Macaca fascicularis: one gene and its partner. The protein of the gene in region 1 interacts with the protein of each later gene in a biochemical or structural test. Links are inferred from orthologs where the notes say so. Each region holds a gene or a part of one and is shown in the gene's direction. Other genes may lie near its edges.

The links.
Region 2: the proteins of MYH9 (region 1) and S100P interact in a biophysical measurement, tested with the Homo sapiens proteins (2 studies listed by IntAct). The link is inferred for Macaca fascicularis from reciprocal best matches to the Homo sapiens genes MYH9 and S100P.

What each region holds. Positions count from the first base shown.
Region 1 is NC_088384.1:15,293,530-15,297,955, forward strand, and holds the start of MYH9 (myosin-9), read left to right. Parts: upstream 1-1,476; 5' UTR 1,477-1,636; intron 1,637-4,426. UniProt on the Homo sapiens protein: Cellular myosin that appears to play a role in cytokinesis, cell shape, and specialized functions such as secretion and capping. Required for cortical actin clearance prior to oocyte exocytosis. Promotes cell motility in conjunction with S100A4.
Region 2 is NC_088379.1:6,400,805-6,405,209, reverse strand, and holds the start of S100P (protein S100-P), read left to right. Parts: upstream 1-1,555; 5' UTR 1,556-1,608; coding exon 1,609-1,746; intron 1,747-4,405.

The sequences.
Region 1 (4,426 bases):
ACCATGCCTGGCTAATTTTTTTGCATTTTTAGTAGAGACGGGGTTTCTCCATGTTGGTCAGGCTGGTCTTGAACTCCCAACCTCAGGTGATCCGCCTGCCTCGGCCTCCCAAAGTGTTGTGATTACAGGCGTGAGCCACCGTGCCCCGCTGAGGTTTTTCTTATCAACTGGGAAGAGATCTTTATATACTGCTGATAGTAATTCTTTGTCACAGAGTTGCAAAATCTTTTTTTTCCCAGCTTTTTTTTGCCTTTAGAACATAGTTTTTTTTCTGAAGTTAATTTGGAAGAACAGTTTCGTCATGATAGGAAGAACATTCCAGTAAGAAAGAGTAAGGATGAGAAATTTACCCTCATAGATATAGAATGTATTATAAAGGTATCATCATTAAAGCATTGAAGGATTGGCACAGGTGCACACAGAAAGATCAATGTATACAAGTCAGAAACAGCTTAAAGTATAAAATAGTTGAATAGGCGATGAAGGTGCCAACTAAAATCAGTGGAGGAAATAGTGTCTGGACAAGTGGCTTTTACAAAAATTATGTCAGGTTTCTTCCTCACCCCAAAAATAAATTCCAGATGGATCAAAAGATTTTTCATTTAAAAATGAAAACATTTTTTATCCTCTTGTAGTGGACAGTAACAACAAAAAAAAGTGCAATTTGTAACAAGCATCTGAAAGGATGTATGCGAGTTAATGACATGGAGGTGAAGAGAGGCTCCGAAGGGTATTCCAGGCTGAAAGAACGGCCAGAGCAAAGGTTTGGAGGCTGAAAGGCAGCAACGTGCGGTCTCTAAAGAGGCAGGGTCAGGAATCGAACTCAAGACGCCCACAATGGAATCCAGGGTTGAGTCCATGCCCGCCCCCACAGGGATCATAATTATGTAAAATAGCATTTTTCCCATATATGGTACTTAATATCTGTCCTTCTGGTGGGATGACAGGAGACTGAGAGCACAGCTCGCGGGGCGGGGTATCCAGACCTTCCCAGTCGGCCTCCGGGGCGGGGAGTTCCAGACCTTCACTGTCGGCTCCCGGCGGGCCTCGCCCCGGCCCAGGCAAGGCACCAAAATCCCGGCCCGGAGCCCTCCGCGCCCCGAGTTGCCGCCTCCTGATTGGATTCCCTCTGTGTCAATCCTATCCTAGAACCTGGCTGTCCGTTGGACCCGCCCTAGAGGGCGGGGCTCCCGCCTAGGAAGCGGAGGAAGGTGGAGCGGGTGGTGAGGTGGGGGCGAAAGAGGAGGATGAATCCCCACCCATCTGGCCGCAGAGGCTCCGCCCACTCCCCTTTCCAGAGGCCAACACGTCTGCCCATCAAAGCCAGGCGCGGCCTGCAGTGGGTGAAGCAGGAAGGAGGGCGGGATTGTGCCTCCAGGCTCCGCCCCGGAGCCGGCTCCGGGCTGGGAATGGGCCCGCGACTCCGAGGGCGGGGCGGGAAGGCGGCGAGGAGCCGAGCTGGGTGCGGTGAGGCGCGCAGATCACCGCGGTTCCTGGGCAGGGCACTGAAGGCTGAGCAAGGCTGACCTGCTGCAGCTCCCGCCTCGTGCGCTCGCCCCACCCGGCCGCCGCCCGAGCGCTCGAGAAAGTCCTCTCGGGAGACCAGCTCCTGTTCCCGGGGCAGATCCAGGTTCAGGTGAGCGAGCCCCACCGCGGTCCCGCCCCGGGCAGGCGGCGGCGGGCGGGCGGGGGCGAGACGCGCGGCCGCCGGGCCGACTTGTGGTTCTTGGGCTCGGTGCGGCCCGCCACCCGCGCGGGCAGGCGCGGACGCCGGCGGCCCGGTGCCCGGCACCGCATCCTTCCCAGGGGGACCGGGACCCCCGCGCGGGAACTCGGGGAGGGGGCCGGCGGCAGCGAGGCCTCGGGGTGCAGGGGCGGCCTCGGGACCCGCGCTCCCCTGCGCCCCTCGTGTTCCCCGGTGCGGTCCCAGGACTGGGCACCGGAGCCGACCTCCCCCTGCCGCTGGGGCACGCGCCCCGCCCTCGCCTCGCCTCGCCCAGGCCCGACTCTGGCAAACTTTTTAACCCCTTCCGGGAGCCGCGGCCCCTGGGACCCAGCCTCACGGGTTGGGAGCCCGGGGCAGCCGCTCCGGTGGAAGTTCCTGGCGTCTGAGGCACGGAGGTAACGGGCAGCGGGCACCGTTTGGCAGCTGTCAGGGCGTCCTCCTGAGTCAGAGTCGGACCGTCCCGCTGCAGACCTTGCACCCGGCCCGGTTTCCGCCTCCGCGGCCGACTTCCTCATTCGCCCGCTGCCGTCAGGCTGGCCGAGGAGGGCCCGGGGGAGGTGCGGCGGCTGCCCGGACAAGGAGGACCCGGCGGGGACCTGGGCGCGAGGCAGGAAGGGCCACCCCCAGCCCCTGCTCCAGCCCTCGACCTCCGACTTCTGTTCCCCGGGGGAGGGAGGCCCGGAATGCAGCAGCCGTCGGGGCCGCCCAGGCGTGCACCTGATTCCACCGCACCCAGGGGCCATCCTGCCCGGGCGGGGCGCGGCGGCAGCTGGCTCTGCCGTTACGACCAGGCCTGGGCGATTGCATCTTTCCTGTTTGAGCCAGATCGGAGTTTTCTATTCTCCACTCCCCGCACCCGCTTCCCTGTGCTGGAGTCCCCACCCCATCCTGTTCTGGGGCCACGCGCAGGAGATAGGACGGCGGCATCCTCATTCCTCCAGGAAAGCCCCGCTGTTTCAAACTGAGAGGCAGCACCCCCAGCACTAGCTTGCCGGCTGTCCTGAGGTGGGGGGCAGGGTGAACGTTCGGCCCCACCCAGCCGGTGTGGAGAGCAGACTCCTTGGGAAGTCCCAGGTCGTGGAGGCAGGCGCTCTCTCCACCGGGCAGTTGAGAGGCCCAGCCACTTTTCGGTTCACTGCGCCCTTTTCTGGGTTTAACAGGATTTCAAAGTAACTGTTCAGTAACTGTGGAAAGGGAAGAGAACCTTGGCTCCTTCTCCATGCGGCGCAACACTGTGGCCATTCTAACTCCACTGTCTGGGCCAGTGTTTGGCTCACCTGATGGCTTAGGAGTTCCTTTTTGGTAAGGAGGGAGGCCTTTTGAGACAATCACTCAATTAATAATAGTCAGTTTGTATACAAGGCTGCTATGTGGGGGGAAGAGGACACAGATGTGTAATTGAGCAAATATTTAACTGCCCTCTCTGTGCCAGGGACTCTGGCAGGTGGTGGGGGATGGGAGTTGAGTAAGACCTGGCCCATGCCCATGGGCACTTAGGGGAGAACTGAGACAAATCCGTAGATGAGTCTAACGTGAGGTGGAGATGACAGGGACCCCGGAAAGGTACTGTGAGTCATGGAGATTGGGAGAAGGGAGCCAGACTGCCCTGTGAAATCCCGGGCCCTGCCTCTGCCCTTGGGGAGTTTACAGTCCTCAAGGGGAAAGTGGCAGAACGAGTGAAATACAAAGGCAGCCTGTGATGTGTGTCCCAAGTATGCCATAGACAAAGGACTCGAGGAATTTCAAGGCTGAGAGGGGCCACTTCTCTGGGACAAGGAGGGAGCTGCTACAAGGGAGAAGCACATTGCAGGTTTGGCAAACTGAGGCAAGCACGCGGTGCTGGAAAGTGAGGAGCCTCTTTGTGGGTAATTGGAGGGTAATTAAAAACATGGAGAGATTGCTTAGTGTAATTTGAGAGCCACTGCGCCCTAGATGACTGTGGGGTGACACCAAAGAACTTCAGTCTTCATACTCAGCAAGCCCTGGCAGCGCAGGTGGGCAGATCCAGGTGTCTGGAGAGCCGGCATTGGCAGGCTCCGTTTGGGGAGCTCTCCAGTCCGGGAGAAAAGAGCAGCATTCTGTGAGGCTGCTCATCTGAAAGGTTCAGCAGGGTAGAGGAAAGAGAAGATCAGGGCCCTGGCTTTCTTGCTTTTATTTTTAAACTTTTTAACCTAAGGGGTTGGAGATGGGACAACTTCTCTCTTGTAGGATGAAGGACGCATGTTAATCACAGCCTGCCTTTTGCCCGCTCTTGCTCCAGAAAAAACAAAACAAGGATCTGTTAGCGCTTTAAAAGAAGAAAAACACACTCAAAAAATGCAGCATTGTTATGTAGCCTGGTAGGGTATTGCTAGAAATCAGCTTGGCTGTTCTTCCTTTACTTCCTCTTCTAGCTAATTCTTCAATAAAGTACTTAAGACAGCCCTTACCAGCTTGACATCTTTATTTCAAAAGGAGAGGAGGGGTTGGCTGTCGTTTTCCTCCGAGCCGTACCCTTCTTCTCTTGGAGGGGGAGAAAGAGAAACCCAAAGCAAAGGAAGAAGAGAAAAAAAAAAAAAACAAACAAACCGAAAAAACCCATGCCTTGACAGCTTCCTCCCAAGCATTATGTTCCAAAAATATTTAGAATAACAAAATCTGTGTGTCGTCTTAATTAAACAAACGTCCTAATTTACTGAGCATAAAACAGCATCTCTGCCT
Region 2 (4,405 bases), on another chromosome or scaffold:
ACACCTGGGCAGGGGCAGTGTGTTCTGAGAAAGCCGGCTCTTGTGAGACCTGCTGCTCCCGTGTGCACCAAGGGTTTTCTGTGTGGAGCCACAGCCCCGCGGGCACAGTCCTGGCCCATGTGCTGGTGGGGGCTGTGTTGGGAGAGGTTAGGGAACTTGCTGGAGGCTGACCCTCTGGAAGATCTCTACCGAGAGAGAGGCCTTTGAGTGTGGGCCTACTTTGACTGGGGCAGGATGTGAACACAGGCCCCTACCTCCATGCTCCTTACCTCCGCGCTCTCCAGGACTCTCTCAGCCTCCCATGCACAGGCCCTCTGAGTGCCTCCACTATAGAGATGGGGAGGGGTGCTACCGTGCCTGAGACCAGAGTCCCTGACCCTGCCCCAAGGTCCCAGGAGCCTTCGTGCTGTCTAAGCCCTGTGACTGCTCTGGGTTTGGTAAGTGCCAGGGCTCAAAAAATAACACCCCAACGTGTAAACCTCAGAAGCAAAAGTTTCTCTGTCCTGCTCCCACCCTCCTGTCTCCAACCCCTCCTTCTCCTCTGAGAGGCTTCCCCAAACCCTGCCGTAAAACCCAGAAATATGACTCCAGTTCTCCACTCCCTCCCCTTTCTGTGTAGAAACCAGCCTAAAGAAACCCCCTGGCCTGCTTTATTTGACTGGAGGTCATAAGAGCTCCATTCCAGAGAGGGGCCTACCCCACACCTAGAAGGAAGGAGAGCTGCTCAGAAAGGCCGCAGGGAATCTGACCCGACAGGCCCTGCCGGGTTCTCCTCCTGGTCTACGAGAGTCCGGCCGGGTTTTCCTCTTGGTTTATGAGCGTCCGGCCTTACTTTTGTGTCCAATCATATTTCCATACTTTGCTGAACTGTGTTTATGTTTGTAAACATGGACAGTTTCCCCCAGATCCTTGGGTCTTCATCTTGAAGGCTGCTGTGCCACATAAGCAACCATCAAATACATCTGTTATGCTCTTCTCCTATTCATCTGCCTTTTGCCCGCTGATTTTCAGCGAACTCCCAGAGGACGAAGGGGAGTTTTCCATTTGGCCCCACAGGGGAGGAGCCAGCGTGATTGAGGTGGAAGCTGGGCCTCTGAAGGACACAGGGTGTTCTAAGAAAGGGGTGACGGGGCAGATCCGTGTTCACACACACGCCCAGTGTGAATTCACTCTCAGACGTCTCCTCGTGTCAGCACGCTGGTGCCAGAACACTCTGATGTTGACACAAAGGGCCACGGAGTCACCACTCACTCCTCACACACTCACCCCGTGGCCGCTTACCCAGGGAGGGCCAGGGATGAGGACACCACGGTGGCTCAGTGATGGCCCCGAGACACAGGTGAACATTGTAAAATGCGGACGCCTGGAGGCAGCCCACACCATGGGCCTTGGCTGGGAGAAAGTTTCCAGAAAGGTCATCACAACGATGCATTTCATCAGAACTGAGCACATGAATGGGGAGGGGCAGGACTTCCTGAATGTCCCAACCCCACTGTCCCACCCTCTGTGTCAATATGAGGTTGCCTTATAAAGCACAAGAGGATGCCAGTGCGACATTTTCTCGGCCCTTCCAGCCCCCAGGAGGAAGGTTTGTCTGAATCCAGCACCATGACGGAACTGGAGACAGCCATGGGCATGATCATAGACGTCTTTTCCCGATATTCAGGCAGCGAGGGCAGCACGCAGACCCTGACCAAGGGGGAGCTCAAGGTGCTGATGGAGAAGGAGCTACCCGGCTTCCTGCAGGTGAGCCCAGGCCAGCAGTGCTGGACTCAGCAGGGCCTGGGGAAGAAGGGGAAGGCGTGGCAGGCAGAGGGCCGAGAGCTGCGGTGGGGTGGGGTCGGGTCGGCAGTCAAGGGGCTCAGAGGCAAGAGGGACAGATCCTGAAATGCCCTAGAAGCCCAGCCAAGGAACGGACCCACCTTGGCATCAAGGCAGGGGACGCTGGAGCATCTGAGCAGGGAGAGGGTATGGTCAGCTTGATCCTTGAAACATGGAGTTGACCCCAGTGTATTTGTGACAGGCCTGGTGGGAGAGTGGGGCTCAAACCTGTGCAGTGGGGGCAGGGGCGGAATGCAATCCAGGGCCGCCGTTTGCAAGTTTGCCAAGCCCTCGAACCTTCGGGGCTGTCCTCCAAGGCTGCCGGCCATAAACGCCCCAGCTCCACCTCCCACTTGTCCGCCTTCCCTGCTCCCATCCCCAGGCCCCTTGTTGCCTGGTATTAGTGGGGCTGGCAGGAAGGACAGGAGGAGGCTCCATCCTGGCACCTGTCTGCGCAGAGCTGCGGACCTCCCTTGGGCTCCCTGCCAGGGAGAAGCCACTGGCCTGAGCCTCACAGAAGGCCCCTTGGGGCGGCCAGGACCAGCTTCCTTCCACCTGGGGCAGCCTCCGTCTGGGCTGAACAGAAGCCTTCCCCTCTCCGTTTCCCCTTCTCTTTGACCGCTGTCCTCTCCTTCTTTCTCACTCCCCCACTTCCTTCCTTCCTTCCCCTCCCCTTCGGGCCCCACCAGATTCTGCCAACCTACCATCTAAGGGGCTGACCCACATGGCTGCTGATAATCGAAAATGAAAGCCTGACATTTTCAGCCCTAGAATCACTTCAAAGACATGAAACACTTCGGAAGATTGCTGCTTTTCTTTTCTTTTCTTTCTTTCTTTCTTTTTTTTTGACAAGCTGTCACTCTGTCGCCCAGGCTGGAGTGCAGTGGCAGGATCACGGCTCACCACAGCCTCTGCCTCCCTGGGCTCAGGTGATCCTCCCACCTCAGCCTCCCAAGTAGCTGGGACTACAGGTGCATGTCACCACAGCCGGCTAATTTTTGTATTTTTTTTTTAGAGACAAGGTCTCACCATGTTGCCCAGGCTGGTCTGAAACTCCTGGGCTTAGGCAACGCATCCACCTCGGCATCTCAAAGTGCTGTGATTACAGGCGTGAGCCCCAACACCTGGCCTCATTCTATTTTCTAAATGTAAATTCTGTAAAGATATCTTTTAAAAATAAAGTTCTGTTTTGGTAGAAAATGTAAAAACAGATAAATATGGAGGGAAGAAATCCCCCCTGGAATACAGACTCTTCCTCTCCCTTCCAGTCTTTTCCCCATGTGAACGTTGCTGTGAGTGGGATTTATATGCAGTTTAATTTCTTTGTGAGCTTAACATTACAGCATAAAATCTCAAACTCTGATGTTCATTAAACACCCCAGCCCCATCCTGGGAACTTGGGCTTGGGGCTCGGGGTGTTCTGATAATCATCAAAGGATGAGAATTGAACCCATGAGGACTTTGATCCAAGACACCGGGGTGTGGGGAAGCGCAGGTGTCCTGGGAACACACTCTGAGAAGCAATGGCTAAGCTGGGGGTCCTCAAACTTGTGTTACATTAGAATCACCTCAGGGATCCCAGGCGCGGTGGCTCACACCTGTAATCCCAGCACTTTGGGAGGCCGAGACAGGCGGATCACGAGGTCAGGAGATCGAGACCATCCTGGCTAACACGGTGAAACCCCGTCTCTACTAAAAATACAAAAAATTAGCCGGGCATTGAGCTTGCAGTGAGCCGAGATCGCGCCACTGCACTCCAGCCTGGGCGACAGAGCGAGACTCCATCTCAAAAAAAAAAAAAAAAAAAAAAAAAGAATCACCTCAGGGAGGCCCCGGGTGTCCTTCTCAGCCCTGCCTCCAGATGCTGCTGAAGCCTAGCAAAGCTGGAGTCGGAGTCAGAGAACAATGTCTGCCTGAGGGCAGGGCTGGGCTGGCCTTGTGGCCTTATCTCCTCCATGCCCAGCCCAGGCCCCACAGTTGGAGCTTTGTAAATACGAGGTGACTGGCTACAAACTTCGTAAACATCACTTGAAATGGCCGCAGGGTATTGTGACGTGGCCAAACCACTATTTGTTTGCTATTGAATTTATACTTCCCTGCCTTACTTTTGCTATTAAAAAACCATGCTGTCACTAAGGTTTTCATGCACACAGTTGTGTCTTGGTCAGACGATCTGTGTCTACCAATTTTAATTGTTTTTTTCCACCTGGACACACGGCTCTCTGGCCCAGGGCTGGGTCATCAGCACCCCCTGCTGCTGCTGTTCAGATCTGCATCCTGGTCCCTCTTGGTCCCATAGTGAGAATGCTTTGCCATCACATGGGCAGGCTCTGAGAGCCCTGCCGGCCTGGCCTTCTCAAAGAAGACCTGAGAGCTTGGGACCCCAAGCCAGGGTACCCAAGCAGAGAGGAATAACAGGGCTCAGGGTGGTCCGTGCTCGCTCCACACCTGGGACTCAACCCTGGCTTTCCCTGGCTCCCTGTGTGACCTCAGGGCAGGCCCCTTGGGCCCTCTGGGCCTTATCGTCTTCATCTGTAACAGGGCGATGCCTCTGCCATGCCTGGTGGTGTTGAGGAGTTCATGT